2 linked regions of the Drosophila melanogaster genome follow. Changing the gene in region 2 together with the main gene of any one other region gives a genetic interaction. Each region holds a gene or a part of one and is shown on either strand. Other genes may lie near its edges.

What was found. A genetic interaction does not mean that the proteins touch.
Region 1: of rho (region 2) and csw, changing one suppresses a phenotype caused by changing the other (phenotypic suppression), as found in Drosophila melanogaster (2 studies listed by BioGRID).

Annotation. Positions count from the first base shown.
Region 1 is NC_004354.4:2,100,006-2,106,733, forward strand, and holds the start of csw (corkscrew), read left to right. Parts: upstream 1-2,283; 5' UTR 2,284-3,141; coding exon 3,142-3,770; intron 3,771-6,728. UniProt on the Drosophila melanogaster protein: Required in all receptor tyrosine kinase signaling pathways. Functions downstream of the receptor tyrosine kinase torso, acting in concert with D-Raf via tailless.
Region 2 is NT_037436.4:1,460,796-1,470,170, reverse strand, and holds rho (rhomboid), read right to left. Parts: upstream 6,361-9,375; 5' UTR 6,041-6,360; intron 4,706-6,040; 5' UTR 4,685-4,705; coding exon 4,349-4,684; intron 3,682-4,348; coding exon 3,264-3,681; intron 3,132-3,263; coding exon 2,818-3,131; 3' UTR 1,227-2,817; downstream 1-1,226.

The sequences.
Region 1 (6,728 bases), on a different chromosome or scaffold from region 2:
ATGATTTCTTGTTAACAAGCTGAGTTTTAGCTAAAAAAAAAAAAAAAAAAATGCAGCCCACGCCCACCGGCGGTGAATTTATGATTTGTAAATTATTTACAAATAATATAAGTAGTTCTCCTAATTGCCTCTTCCCGTCTATTTTTGATTTACCCCTTTCTGGGTGGGGTCGCAAAGTACTCATTTTAAAATTTACCATATAACCAAGCTCACAAATGCCCGGTATAATGGCCCATAAACTATACTCTCTGGCATTTGCCGCAAAACAGTTCTGTTGGTTTTTGGCTGATTTAGTGCGAACACGTCTGTACAGTGGTCCCCGCAGCGACCCACAATCGATTTGCGATTGCCAATTGGCTATTGGCTATCGGCTATTGGCTTTTGGCGACTGAATAACCCATTTCGAGGAGCTGTCGCCGCGCATTCGGTCCGGCACGCTTCACTTACGGATTGGGCTTTGGCTTCGGCTCCGCTGGCTGCCATCCCTGGGTCCCGAGACCAAATCTCAATCTCAATCCCAATTCGGAGTGGCGAACAATCAGTGGTCGGCACATATGTAGCTGTGTGCCTAGCATACTAACCATCCCCCGCCTCCGACTGAACAATAAATTATGTTTATTTCTGGCCCACTCCCCATCGCACCTACGAATGGTTTTGGCTGTGCCCAAATGCGGTCTGGGTCTCCAGCAACGAAATCGGGATAGCCAAGGTCGCGGAGCTCAGGAATGGAGCACTGGGGATACTGGGACTGGGCTGTCGCTCTGGCAACTGGTACCGATCAAGTTTATTTCTGGGTAGGGCGGCACTCACGGCACTCACTACTTCGCCGGAACTTTTAGTAATTCCATACGTAATGTAAACACGTTGGGTAGGCTATTGGTCAATGCCACTTCTAAATTGCGTTACCCGATCATTTCTAAGAACTTAAACTTGCGAATGGCCAATGTTGGCCTCGCTCTTAATTCTGTATCGATAGCAATCAGGTAGCTCAAATCATCTCTACTCACTTTTAATGCACTTCTCGTCTTGCATTTGCCATTGCAATGACTAATATTCTTAACCGACACCTAACTGCGCCCAGAAGCCCCATGTGGTTTCCACGGATCTGGTCCACCTGGCCTGGAACATCCTGTTTGCATTGATGCATGCATGCATAGCTACATGGGGTTTCCCCGACTGGTTTGAGCTGAGCATTTTCAATTTTGATCGAACACTTCGGAGACAATTTCCATTGAGTGGATTTTGAATGTGGTTTGGGTAACAAGTTCTAGTTGGTTTCCAGCGAAAAAACAATGACGAAATGTTGGAAAAAAAAAAAATAGTTCGTCATCGTTGGGAGGCATGAATACGAGGCTGGAAGTAAAGTGTTGCTAGATCGCAGTTCGCAGGCTGTCGCACGTCGAACGATTTTGTTTTGCTGGCCAAAAAAAAAAAAAAGATATTCTGCGCACGTTCGCACCTCTGACGTCTGCGCCTGCGCTGTAAGAGAGCTTTGGCACTGCTCGCTTCTAGCTCCCACTTACCCAACTACCAACCTGCCCACCTGCCCACCAACCCACCTGCCCCCCAGCAAACCCAGTTCCTTGCCTAGATGGCCGCCACAGTAGTTGCTGTGCGGCTTCAGTTTCATTTCCGGTGGCAGGCAACGGACGGCGCTAAAAGCGCTTTTTGTATTTGCTTTCTTACAAGCCAACAACACACTCATATCACGAAATGACCATTTTCGGATTGGAATTAATCTTATGTGCCTGCTTTTCGAAATGTGTATGATTCGGATTCTGATTGCGATGAACTCCATGACTCATCCAGGAGTACAGTCATTACGAAATAAACATAGAGTGGAGCCCGCTATACATATTTATAGGTATTAGCCTGGCTCTAGCACTTAATTGAAAGTAAATGAAAAGTAAAAGTGTAATTTTTTACAATGTTGATTGCAATTCAAAGTGCTTTCGCTTTCTGAATAAACCGTAAGTGGCGTCCACAGGATGGCTACAATTAAGTGGCGCCCGCTGAGGGGCCCAAGCAGTTTGATGATACTGAAACAGGAGCCCAGGGGAAAGCTGTGCACACACCCACTGCCAATCAATTTCAAAGTTACGTCTTTCGCTCCGTTTTATTTACTGTGTTTTTTTTTGTATTTGTTTGTGACTTCTGGCTCGCTGACAGTAAATAAAGCCCATAAATAAAAACACCCACCCACGAGATCGACAGGAAGGGCTAACCAGAGCGCCGGCTGGATTTAAAAACAAAAAGCGCCGTCCGCAGCCAGTCAAGATTCAGATTCATTCATACCCCAGCGCTTAGAACACCACCAGGCCACAGCTCCCGTCCGAGAGATATAGCCACTAAGAGAGAGCGGAAGAATCGAATCGCAAAGAGAGGAGCCGCGCTGAGACAACGTCAAGAATCCGATTTCGATTCCGATTGCGATTTCGAATCCGAGGCAAAAAGCTTCAGACTCGGCAGCAGGCGCTTCATTCTCGAGTTGTGATCCAACGGGTTAGCAGCTCAGCTCGCAAGCAGTCGCCGTTCGTCGTCGAGCGGCAAGCAGTTCGTTTCATTTCTACTGGGCGCCAGTACAAGTTCCATCGAGTGTTTTTGTTATTCGAAGGCAAAGCGCGAAAATTATGCCTTCAGCCACATTTGTCCTGGAGCATTTGATGGCGGCACAATCGCGACTCGACGAGCAGGCCGCATCCCCAGCAGAGGTCAAACCCACCAGCACCATCAACAGCAGCAGCACCACCGTGGCCAAGGCCATCAATGTCAAGTCGTACGAAAAGAAGCTGTTGCTGGCTCTCAAGAAGATTGTGCAATAATAAACGAATGCGGGGTAAACAGCACTCTATTTGACAAACTGTAGACATTTCCCCTAATCGAGCTGACTAAGATCAATAAAAAGCAAACAGAGAAGCACAACAAACAGCGGCAAAAAACAAAAACCAAGAATTCTAGTTTTTGTGCTTTCAGTGTGTGTTCGTGTGTGTGGGCAAGTTGTTACATAAAACAAAAACAATAACAAAATAAAAAAAAAATAATAAAAAAACACCCCAGCCGAGACGCATTTTTCCGCAGTGGAATACTACTATCTAAGCTTCTTTTTGTTTTGGTGTGTGCGAGAAAACGAGTGTGAAGAAAATGCTGTTCAACAAATGTCTGGAAAAGTTGTCCAGCTCGCTGGGCAATGTGGTCAATCACAAGCTGCAAGAGAAACAAGTCTACAACAACAACAATATCAACAATAACAATAACAATACGCTAAACAACAACAATGCCTACAACAATCAGCGAAACTTTGAGTACGAAAGAGCCATACAGGCGCACTACGGAAGCAAGGGAAGACGCTCGGAGGAGCGCGAAAGGAGCGGCAAGTTCAAGGCCAGCAAGGGTCGGAAAGCAAAGGTCACCCCACCAACGGAGACACCCGAGGCCCAGGAGCCGGCCTGCAAGAACTGTATGACCCACGACGAGCTGGCCCAGATCATAAAGGGCGTGGCCAAGGGCGCTGACGCGCAACGTAATCGAGACAACCGACTGCAGCGCAGACGTCGTCCTCTCTCCGCCCAACCCTCCGCCGCTGCCTCCGCCTCCACATCGACGGAATCTCTGCACCGTCTTACACCCAGCCCGCAGGCTTCCTACCCGGCCACGCCCACCTCCTGGACAGCCACACCGCCCCAGTTCCCAGCCGCCTTCGGCGGCGCCAGCTGCTCCAACAGCACACTGTCCCTCTTGGCCACCATGCGCGTCCAGCTCCATGGTTACACGTAAGTTCAGGTCGCCCAAAAAAAACGACAGCAGTCCAGTCCAGAGTGTTAGAAAAAGAGCAGCGTTCTGCTAATTTGGGGCGCGTGCGAAATTAGGCACTAATTGTTATTGGAGTGCGAGTAATGAAGTTGTCAGGCTGCCAACTAAACGATACCCCGTAGCAGGTGAAATGGTATTTTGAGCTACCATCGCATCGTAGTATGTCGCCCCGCCTGTCAGTCACATGTCGCGGAGTAGCAGATGATTCGCGGGAAATCTGGAGACAATCTGCTGCCCATCAACATTAACCCTAATAAGGCAGGCAATCACAGGCAGTTGACGCCGCAACAAAGCAAAAAAAAAAAAAAATCAGCGCAGCACATACTGTCATGTGTTCAGAATTGCCACGCAAAATGAGTAAATATTTACGCAAAGCATTCGACTCGAAAACAAGCAATCGTAAATTGACGTTCTAATATGAATGAATTTCCGACTGTCAAATGCCGAAGTGAAGTGAAGGGAGTGGAATGGCAAATGGCAGGGGGCCCAGCTCAGATCGCCACTCAAATATGGTCACATATCAACATATCAACCCCCCCCACACAATTGGCCCGTTGTCAAGTTGTGTTTCGATATTGGTTCTTTCATTTAGAGCTGAAGATTGAGTTATTGGTTAGGCACTGGCTAAATTACGCACTTGTAGAACCGGGAGAGTTCGGCGAATTGCCCACTGCAGACATCGTATCTTGGCCCACTGCCAGATCGGAATTATCTCTTCACTCGCGCCCGGAATGTTTACCCATGTCCCGCTGTTGCGCTGTCCGTCGTCCACATTCCCCAAAGATTCCATCCCACTCCGTGTCTGATCTTGGTGTTTATCTGCCCGGCTGTGCCATGTGCCGTCCGATTGTTTGTGTGGGCTGGCCCCATCTTGGCGATCTCGATTCGCACAGTACACCCAGAAAACAATCGCATATGTATCTGCTGGACTATTATTATGTCCCATAAATTATCTTTGACTTTTAGTTGAGCTCGGATTGGTAGTGCAGTCGGTTTCGGTTGTTGCTTATTTATTTATTTTGATTTTTATCGCAACGGATTCATAATCGCTGAACGTGTTGATTGGCTCGTTAACTTGATCTTTGTTTTTCTAATTTATGCTCAGCTTTTATAGGTATCCTGCTTTAGGGCGATCTTTTCGTCGTTATCCTAAAACGCACATCATGCCAAATGATCTGAAGATGATGTGCCAATAGCTTTGACAGCTTAAGCTGCGTGATTTCCGGATTTCACTTGTCACACTCACTAGGTCAACAATGGGGCACCGCCGTCCTCTGCCCTCCGCCTTGTAGAACTATTAACCTTCCGATGGTTTTTCTTCTCGCCATAAGGCTGATTAACGATTTATGAAATTACATTTCCCGTAATGGATTTCGAGCGCTGCCTTCTGTTTTGCATATTTCCGTTTATTTGTCCGTTGCACAACCGTGAGCTGTGGCTACTGATCAAATAAAAGCGTTTAATTTGTGCAAATTCATAACGTCGGCCGACTACAAGATGCTCTCAGTGGAAAGGCCCAATTATGGGGGGGAGGGCTTTGTTCTGGGGTTGTAACTCCATGGAAATTTTACAATTCTATCCCAGACTCTCCCCAACTAGTACTTTTCCCCGTCCAGTTCTCCAACTTGACATATCGTTTATATGCTTATTTTAACAGTTTGAACTGTTCAAAAAATATTATGTTTTGAATAGACTGTACTACTACTTCACACACTGCTTGCGAGTGGGCGGTTAGGGTAGGGGCAAGCAGCTCATTCGATAATTCAATAAGTATCTTGCCGACTTTTGAGTTAATTAATTGAAGGCCTCGTTCCCCTGCTTCCGCGCTCCACCTCGTAACCCCAATACCAGTCGTTTCGCTGCCGCCTTTCCAGGTGCGTTGCCACACGAAAAGCAAAATAAACCTGTGACAAACGAAACGACTAAAACACTGAGGGGGGGATTTGTATATGTATTCGGATATTGTGTACGAATACGCTGCACATATTCGTGTGTGCATGTAAATCTGTTTGTTGACCTTAGCGGCGCTTTCATGAATGGCGCGCAGCTTCCTCCGTATGGTAAATACAAATACGCCACATTCGCATTCGCTGCTGTAAGTGTAACTGTAAATGATGCAAAAAGGTGCAAAATTTTCACTGACGTACTCGGGTGATGGTAATTCCATCTGCTTGTATTTTTAACCCCCAGTCTGCCCGATTTAAATCGCTGAGTGAGAGCGCAACAGAAGTAATTTGTGTTGCTTTGTATTATCGTCACAGTGCTAAATTTAAAGATAAACACCGAAATATGGGTGGAGACGGAGACACAGTTTGGCAGCACCGCAGTTCGGCAGAATGACACAAAGGATATCAGCGATATGATCGATGTGGGCTGCGATAATTGCTAAGTTCAACTCGATTGCACGGGGTCAGACGGCAGAGGGCGATGCGTCCACGAATCCGAATCATTTTAACTACGGCGATCGCAAACAAGCGATCGGCCAACAATACGCAAATGTGCTAATAGATGTGGTCCGAAAACTGTGAATTGTCTTATGCAAATAACTCGGGAACCTTTCCATACGCAAATCGTGTGTGTGTGTGTGTGTTGAATCATCCGAAAGAATGCGCAGTTCGTATTTACGAATATCGGAAATCGGAATCATTTTTCCAGAAATTCTAACTTTTGCCTAAATGAAGATAGAGTAAAAACTGAGGTTGGGATGCTATCGATTTGGTGCAAGCAGTGCACAGTTTCCGTCTACGTGAAAGCAAGCAGTGCATATAGACCTGCTTGTAATAGATTTATAACTTCCGTTTTGCTAAAAATAAACCCATCAAACTCATTCTTATCACTCGCAACCGATCGGCTTCGCATTTGGCCACCTTGAATCTGTAACAAGCTAGCAAAGCAGAGCGAACGAGCGAGTGAGCGAG
Region 2 (9,375 bases):
TCGTCCTCGATTGCTGTTGACATTGTGCCTGAATTTCAATTTGATGTCCACGAGGCGGCAGCTCCTGTCTACCATAAATCTTGCTCCTCAAACTGCCTAGACTCTCCGGGTGCGTTTCGGATGGGATTGGATTGGATTGGATTGGAATGGATTGGATTGGATGAGGTTGGCTTGTCTGTCTTCTTGCACGGGCGTTGGGATTTGGGAGTTGCAAGTGGCGGTGAGTGTCTACTTCGTCCCCCAAAATCCGAAGGCACTAAGCTTGTGCCCCATTTTGGAGGCACATCTGCTTTATTGTGTTGCTGTATCTCTTGTATCGCCCATCGCCCGTAATTGTATAATTTAAGCGGAAATTAATTGACAGGTGCAATCATTCAGCTCTGATTATGCACAATTACTAATTGCAGTTAGCGGAACACAAAAAAGATGTTCTTAGTCTATGTGAATTGTATTACTTACGTACATTTTACTGTTTCATCCAAGTGTTTTATTCATTTTCCGATGTAATCAAGCATCTTTGATTTGCCAACGCTTCCTTGATTATGCATCATTAATAAGTGAAATATTGGGGGATTATACCCTGTACTTTTTTAGTAAAAGAGTAGGTTTGTATTTCTTAAATTAGGTGGGAAGTACAGGACTAATTGAGAATATCCTCAACAATTTCGATTAGTTGTACTCGATCAGCATGTTTCTGCTTTAGTTTTCTATTAAGTGCTTATTGCTAATAGGTATGCATTAGTCGACTAAACGCAAACAGCTGGCAAATGTTTTTGGTTCGCTTCAAGTCCTTCGAGTTGAATGCCGATTTGGAAATTCATGGACTTAGTCCTGCTAATCCAGTTGGATTGAATATAATACTCGCATGAGATGTGGAATCACAGACAATATGAATTATTACAAAATGCGTATGCTGCGCCTTCATATTTCATATTGGGGCAACTATCGATTGGTGGCAGTGGCAACATTCGAGTGGGAAAATTCGTTGACACAAGTCTTCTGCGGAGTGGGTATTAATTAAGGATTTTCTTCGAGTCTTAGTTGTAGTTGCAACCTTTCGCTTTGAATTGCCATATTTATGTGGAGCAAATATTGATTGGGCTGCCCCCCAAAAAACTCATCCAGCAGAGGATACATACATACACAAGCTCAACTCGCCCTGAGTTATTTGTGAAGAAAACGAGAAATTCATATATAATTTAGACATTTATTTTTGTTCAATTTTTCTCTCCTTATTTATTTATCTATAATTTTTTGCTATTTGCATTTCTTCTGTCCCTTGTCTCGTGCTGAACATTTCCGTTTCCTAGTTTGTTTTATTTTATTTTTTTGTTTTGTTTTTTTTTTTTCATCGGGTGGAGTGTGGATCCATTATTTTGGAAAATCGAGTATGCTATCTTGGGGTTTTGTGGCCCAAAAGGATTCTATTTTGGCTTACGCTTTGCTGGCCTTTATGCCAGATTAGCTGTTTTCATTCGGCGATTACTTTGAATATTTCTCTATTTGCGTACGATATATATATATATATATGTATATATATATGTGTATCGGTCAATATGTCAAGTATCTTGATAATCTGCTGGCTCGATTATTTATTGCCCTTAAATTGTGGGAATTAAAACCAAGCGAGCCGACAGCCAAAAACTGAAAGTAAAATAAAAATACAAAATGGGAAATGAAAACGCTTTTGCTTGTATTTTGTTATTACTGTTGTATTCTTGAAATGTTTTGATTTTTTATTTTCTTTGGCTTTTCGTGTGTATTTTTCAATTGGATATTTTTACAGTTGAATTGGTTTGTTTCTTCTCTCTCTTGTGTTGTTGTTGTTTTTTCGTGCTTGTTTGTGTGAATTTCACTAAATTATTAAATAAATAAATAAATAAATAGTTCGCTCAATTGACGAATTAATAAACCCTCGCTGCCCTACCATAAATAAATATAATTAGTAATACTTTCGAGTGTGTGTGTGTGTGTGTGTGTGTAGGGGATTACGATGCTCGATTTTGTAACGCATTAAGTGACTTTAGTATAATTTAATTTAATTTAACTCGATTTGCTTAATTGATCTGAATTGAATGGTTCTTTGCTGTGGTTTTCCATATTTTTTTTGTTGTTTTTGCTGTTGCTGTTGTTGTTGTTTGACTAGTGTGCGACTTAATAGTATTTACAATTTGAAACAATTTGTTAGGAGGGCTAGTTATACCTAAATATATATAAATTATAACACTAAATCCTACAATTCGGAGCACATTATGCTTATGGATGTATAAACAATTTGATACAGTTTGCTGATGCTTCGATTCGATTCATTCGTAGTAATTGCGGCCAATAAATACATAATTTAAGAAAACAGACAAACCATTAATTGAAAACATGGATAAATCATTTAAATCATAGCGAGAGGCGATTAGTTCTGTTTCTCCTCTTTGATTTTCCTCTTGATTTTTACTTGGTTTTTACACGCGAAATAAATTCAGTCTTTGGTTCTATCACAACATTTGTTTACACGTTTCGGCTTCGGTTTATGTTCTCCTCACTCCTCGCACTTTCTTTTTGTCCAGTGTATTTCTCTTGATTTGTTTTTTTTTTTTTTGAGTTTGTGTACTATGTTTCGGAACTGAAACGTTTAACTGCAAACGGTAACGATAACGAGATAATGCTAACGAAAAGCAAAAGCCAAACGAATATCGAATTAGTTTTGAACTAAATCGTTGAGTGAACTTTTCTTTTCCACCAACTCTCTGTCTCTCGATCTCTCCTGAAGCTCAAGCAGATTCCGAATCCCTGCGAGCATGCTGACGACTCCGAACCTCAAACTTAGGACACTCCCAGGTCGTGCAACAGATGCTGGGTAATCACCTCACCCTGCTCCTCCATCAGCTGAGCGGTCACCGTGTTGATCAGGTTGAAAACGATGGCGAAGACGGTGAAGGCACAGTAGACGCCCAACGCTAGCCACCAGATGAGCTGCTCGTACTCTCGGTGACCGAAGTTCTTTAGCACCAGAAAGCCGATCGTTAGTCCTGCCAGGGCTCCCGTCAGGTGGGCAATGTACGACACCTGGGGACCCTTGGCGAAGGCGCTTCCATCGAAGTATTGGGTGTAGAGAGCATAGCCCAGATCGCAGGAGACTGCAAATGGAAGAACAGAAGGGATTCAAGTTAGTTAAGTTAAACATAGAAGAAAAAGATGTGACAAATTCGTGTTTAGGTAGGATAGATTAGGTTCTATAGATTCTAGTCATAAGGTGTGGGGAAACTCACCAAAGATGACAACGGATCCGAGTTGCGTGGATGCGCTCTTCATGTGCGCATAGTTCAGTGTAATGTTGGCCAGATGTGCGGCCAACAGGGCATAGACGCCACCGCTGGCGCCCACCAGGAAGACCTCCGAGTCGACGACACTGGTGCCCAGGGATCCGGCAAAAACGCCCGCCATGTAGATCACGCCGATCCTGGCCGTGCCGTGCATCACCTCCAGGGGAATGCCAAAAAACAGCTGGATGACGATATTGAAGCCCAGGTGGAACCAGTTGGCGTGCAGGAACATGTAGCTAAAGAAGCGCCACACCTGCAGACGCCGGTCCGGCCGATAGACCAGCACCGAATCCGACGGAATCGGAACGGGTAGCCCGAAATTCTGGGCGGGCATTGTGTAGCGGTCGTAGGCGAAGATGGCAATCTAAAATGGACAGAGACGCAAAGAATTGGGGGTTAGTTCTGGGCTCTCGCTCTGATTTATGTTGTTGCTGTCTGGCACGCGACCACGTTCCAAATAAAGTCTTATGAGAATGCTTAGGGGCGAGTCCTGCCAACTTGGCAGGGCTTCAAACTCACTAAACTCATACGCCCCGTGGGCCGCCCTGTTTATTTGATATTCGTGCTAGTTTCTATACGAAGCAAATTATTTCCAATACGAATGTAAGGGGTCATGTAAAAGTGTATTGTTTATTTTAAACTCAATGTTCCAAGTTACCAATTTCGCTATCAAACTAACTATCATTTCCATCTTCTCATCTTCCACTGTTTTTCACATGACAATTTTTGGTCTGCCCTTAAAAAATAAAAAAAAGAAAAAACTACGAACGGTCTGGTTTCATAAACTTTTCTGTTCGCTTTTTTTCCTTCGGCTGTTTTGTTGTTCAACTTGTTTACAATCGATTTTCGGGGGCGCCAGCGAGTCAGACGCAGAAAACGAAACACGAAAAGCGAGGAAAACTCTCGGAAAACTTCCGCCCTTCGTCGCCGCTTTCCGCCCCCTATATCATTTTTATCGCTCTTGGGATGAAAGTTTGCGGCTTCTTTGATTTAATGGGTTGAGTTACTGAGTTCGCTGTGTGTGTGCTTACCTCAATGATGGAGATCACTAGGATGAACCAGGGCCAGTGCTGGCGGTGGACGTACTTCAGCAGGCCGATATCCTCCGACTCCGGAAGTGGCGTGGCCGGGATGGCCTCGCGTTGCATGTAGATGTGCTCGCCTTGGCGGGTGCAGCAGGTGCTGCTCGCCGTGCTGCAATCGGTGTCGTACGACGAGGAGTTGGAGGAACTGGAGCACGCGGCGGGAATGTCAATGATGGTCTCCTTGGCGGCGGTGGCATGCTCCTCCTCCTGCGACGCCTCCTTCTCCTTCTCCTGGCCCAAATCCACCTTGGTTTCGTTTACATTCTGCGTTAAGTTCTCCATGCTGGCGCCGTTGAAGAAATTCTGGAGAAAGAGAGGAGCGCATAAAGTGTGTAATTAATTAACTTGAACCGAACAATAAACAAAAATCAATTAAGTGCATAAGTTATTCATAAAACGCAGCACAAAACAAGAGCAATTACAACACTTCAGAAAAACCAGAGTGTGTGGGGAAATGCAGCAGAAATAAAAGAAAAGCGAAGGAAAAGCCTGCTTCTTTGTGGGTAAGAATTTTGTTTATGGCCTGGGACACGGATTCCGATGCCTGCAACTTCCTGGCTGCTTTTCCCCGAAGGGAAAACTGGGTCAGCTTGTGTGAGCTAACCATAAAATTTGATGGGCCAAGTTTGCTTTTGTGGCCCGAAATTAGCTGGACAAAATTGAAGATGTAGCTTGTGTAGCATCTACGCCGTTACATAAACTGCACTTTCAGCCCTGAAATCATCTTCGCTAATGGCCAACTAATCAGCTAATGGCCAGGCATTATTGTAATTCATTGCCCAGAGACATTTCCTCACAAATTATGTTAATCGCATTCGATTCAATTACAGTCACAGCACAAATCTTCTTAAATTCCCCAAACAACTGTTCGTCGCAACAAGGAAAAAAAATAACAAATTCATTGCCTTGCTCAACAAAAAAAAAAAAAATAAACTTAAAAAAACGCGTTTCTCCCACTCACACTCATTGTGTTCGCATATGCCCCCTCTCTCTCTTTCGCCTCAAGTCGCATTGCACACACGCACCGTTGTTGCTTTTGTGTCTGCTACCTACACTGCTCGAAAAAGTGAGTGGGTGCCGTGCCTTGGCTGGCGCTCTTTTCATGTTCTTCATTTCGGTTGCCTAGCAATTTCAATAAGGCACGAAATCGCAGTCGGCCGCTTATTAATTAATTTATTTATTAACTTTAATTGCAGACTGCACCGAATGTCCATGCGAGCATGAAGAAGAGATGTCGAAAGCGGGCTTTAAGACATAATGAATTAATTCATTCGGCCTTCTTTTCATCATTTCTTTCTTCTCATTTTTTTTTTTTGTCTGTTTGGTCAGAAACATAGTTTCACATGGCCCGCGGTGTAATTTGCATTTTTTATGCTTTCTGCTGCACTCGCACCCCTAAAAAAAAAAACGGGCAAAGGGTGCGAGCGAGAGAGATAGAGCGAGCGGGCACACAGGTTGAACAAACTCATTACGCCTCTAAGTTGAAATGCTTTTGTTTTGCCGCTGTGACAATTTCTATTGCAATTTGCACATTTCTTGCATATCCCTTGTGGCTTGTAGCTTGTATCTCGCAACTCATATTTTGTATCTTGTATCTTTTAGCTCTCGCGCATTTTCTCATTAGGGTCGGGGGCTTACCTTAGGTTTTTCTGCCTGTCGCAATGTTTATAATCCAAAATGCGTGGGTTTCTTGTAATCCAAATGTCTTTAGTTAGCTGGCATATTCGCACGTTTTTCACTCGCTTTTTTCGGCTCGCACATTGGTAACTTAGTTTTGCTGCTCGTAAATCCAGGAGCTTGTATTCAGATATTCTTGAGATATATATTCTCTGCTTGCACCCACACACACGACAATTTGAATATTTCTTTCTTTCAGTTTCAATTTCAGTTTCGAGTCGCAGTCCGACTTTCTCAGTTTGATGATCTCGCGCTCGCGGCTCGCACGCAACTGACTTTCGAAAGGCAAGGCAGCCGGCCTTTATAAGTGCTCGCTGTGCGGTGCAGTATAAGAGAGCCACTTCGAACATGTTGTGTTTTGGTTCGGCCGTATAAGTGTTGCATGGCACATCCGGATCTTGTCTTGTGTGGGTGGGTGGGGTGTGCGCACTGCAGTCACTCGACTGCTGCAGCTCGAGGCGAGCGGTTCGAAGGTTTTTCGTCGCTGGTTATTCACTGGTTTCCCCCATCTGCCGCCTTGCCACATAACGGTGAATGACTCATCCAGACGGGCCAGCACTTCTTGCCAATGCCACTGACTAACAAATGCGTCGTCTTCTGTCTTCTGTCTTCTCGCCGATCTCCAGCGATCTGCGCTTTGTCATGGCCTACTACGCAGATCTGAGCTCTAATCTCTGCAATGTTGCGAAATTCTAGCAAGGCCTTTGCGTTTAATTGCCTTTCAGCAAAACCGACTTTTATCTCATTTTATATTATTACTAGTAATATATATTAACGTACTAGAAGAGGTTTAAGCTCATTTTAGTTGTATTTGTAAAGGTACCAAGTCCATTGTTTTGCTGAGTTTCCCGTCGATGCCTTTAAACAAAGACAAGAAAGTCAAACAAATTGTTAACACAATTAAAGATGATGAAATCGGTAGTAGCAGTCGCTTTTTCTTTAGCTCCGCACTTTCGAATAGTTTCCAGAAATAACTTCAATGTCACAATTGCTCACAATGGTAATGTAAATTAGTTTCTAAACTAAAAAAACTAGCAAAACTATTTGCTTGCTTAGAAATAGTTTTAAAATTCCTCTATTGATACGTAACCGTTCAATAGCTAAAACATTGCTTCTATAATTCTGTTGTTTTTAAGGGAACGTGCCACTGCAAGTGGCCAAAAATGCAAATAAAGTATATCGGCTCAGCAATGCAGAACATGTCATGGAATCGAATTCGAAACCGAGCCCCGTCCTGATTCCCCTTGATTCCCCGATTCCCCGTAGAAGATCATCATTGTCAGGGGTTTCGAATTTCACACCTTTTCCAGCGAGAGCTCCCTCGGAGGCGTTGAGCGAGCAGATAGAAATCGGTAGCAAAAATAAATATTTATACAAATTATTAGGCAGCCTGAGCCGTTGCAGTCACGAGTTCGCGGGAAAGGTCACCACGGCATGTTGCACAAAAGGAGTAGCTTTCGGCTTCCTGGCCGAAAGGATCGAGACGACGTGGTTACGTGTTTTGCATGATAAGCTGGGAATTTACACAGATCTAATAGATAGATATACCCATCCTGGCCAGTCATCCTCATCGGCGGCATGAAAACTCCCGCATGAAAAGTGAAAATATTTTCACTGGGCGCAAAAGAGAGGCGAAACAGATTCAGAGTCCTCGTCCTCGTCCACTGAGATTTATGATGACTTTTTAACATGTGCGTGCAACAGGTAAGCAGATACGAAAACACAGTTGCTGCACTACATGCCCATGACCAGGCACGTCATCAGCTCGGAGTTTCTCAGCTCATCTTCATCGTAAATCCTTTTTTCCCACGTTCCCTCAGGTCGAGTTCCTCCATCCTCCATTGCTGCGTTTTCATTGTGCCAGACACGCATTGCCAGCACTCCACGGACATGGACCCACTGGCACTGGCAAGGTCAGCCACCGTACCAAAGCAATCTCAGCCACCCAAAACACTCGAGCTCGAATTCAGGTAACCGAGTGGGCGTGGGTAGGACGTGGGCTTTTCCCACGCAGGACAGGACGTTGATTCCTGGCCCGTCGCCCGGGAATTTCCCCCAAAACATGTGCTCAACATATGCGAGTGCCTCATGGCATCGCGAATCAGGAAATTCCGCCCGCCACTTGCGCTTCCCGCCGCACAGCAAGGTGTCCTTTTTCCGCTTCCCAGAGTTTCGTTTCGCGACTTTTTGTTGCAGCCGCACTTGTCTTCCGCAAGTTGCGCCAAATGTTTCGCGATGTGTGTTTTTCCCACCGCATGTTTTCCCATTTTTCCATCCTGCCCAAGGATCTTAGCACTAATCATCCGACAGGGGCGCGTCTTTCAAGCAGCTTCTGAGAAGGCAGATGCAAATGGGATCGTGCGATCTGGATGATGCCCTGAGTCCTGAAAGCGACTCACTTAACTGACTCCGCAGCAAAAAGGGGAATTAAAATTCGTATCAAACTGTTGTTTTAATCATTTTGATTTTGAGCAGAGGAAAAGCTTGCGAAATAGAATATAACGACAACTTCTTGAACAAATTTGCAAACAAACAAATAACAATGGAAATGCCAGAAGTGACGGGCGTTGAAGATACCAAAGGGGCGAAATACAAACTTGACGGGCCAATTGCAAATGGCAATGGGAGTGGAATTGAAAAATTGATTGAGAATGAAGGCCAATAATAATGGAGTAAGTAATGAGACTGTCCACAACAGTCGAAGGAATCGTGGGAGTTGTGTCTCCCTTCGCATAAAAGGAGCAAAGAGTCCTGGCCAAGAAGCCAGGGAATGCTCGAAATTTATCTATTGGATTAAGGTCTCTTTTGTGGACGTCATTATGGCCAATGCTAAAGACAAATTGGAAATTTATTGTTATGAACAGCGTTGGTGGACGGAAGGAAGGAAGGAAGGAAGGGAGGGAGCGTAGCAAGGATAACAGACCAGCGAATATGCATAATAAAAATGTCAATCAATGAACTGCAACGAACCGAACGGAGTCCACCGCTTGGGTCAGTGGTGCTGCCACGATAATTGAACATAAACATTGCATTCAAGTAGCAATTGTTCAAATTATTGTGCATCCCAAATCCCAAAACCGAATCGAGAAGCCCAGAAACCAAAACGAACGCAGGACAACGGCATTGGGTTTGCGGTCAGTGCAGCAGCAGGACTGAAAATAAGCAGTTTTGTCCAAAAAAGGACATTTGTATGTATGCCGAAGACCGCTCGGAATTTGGAATGGTTCCCAGGACATGTCGACACTGGCATTTCTGGCAGCCAAAAGGAGACACCAGTGCAAACACAAATGTTGATG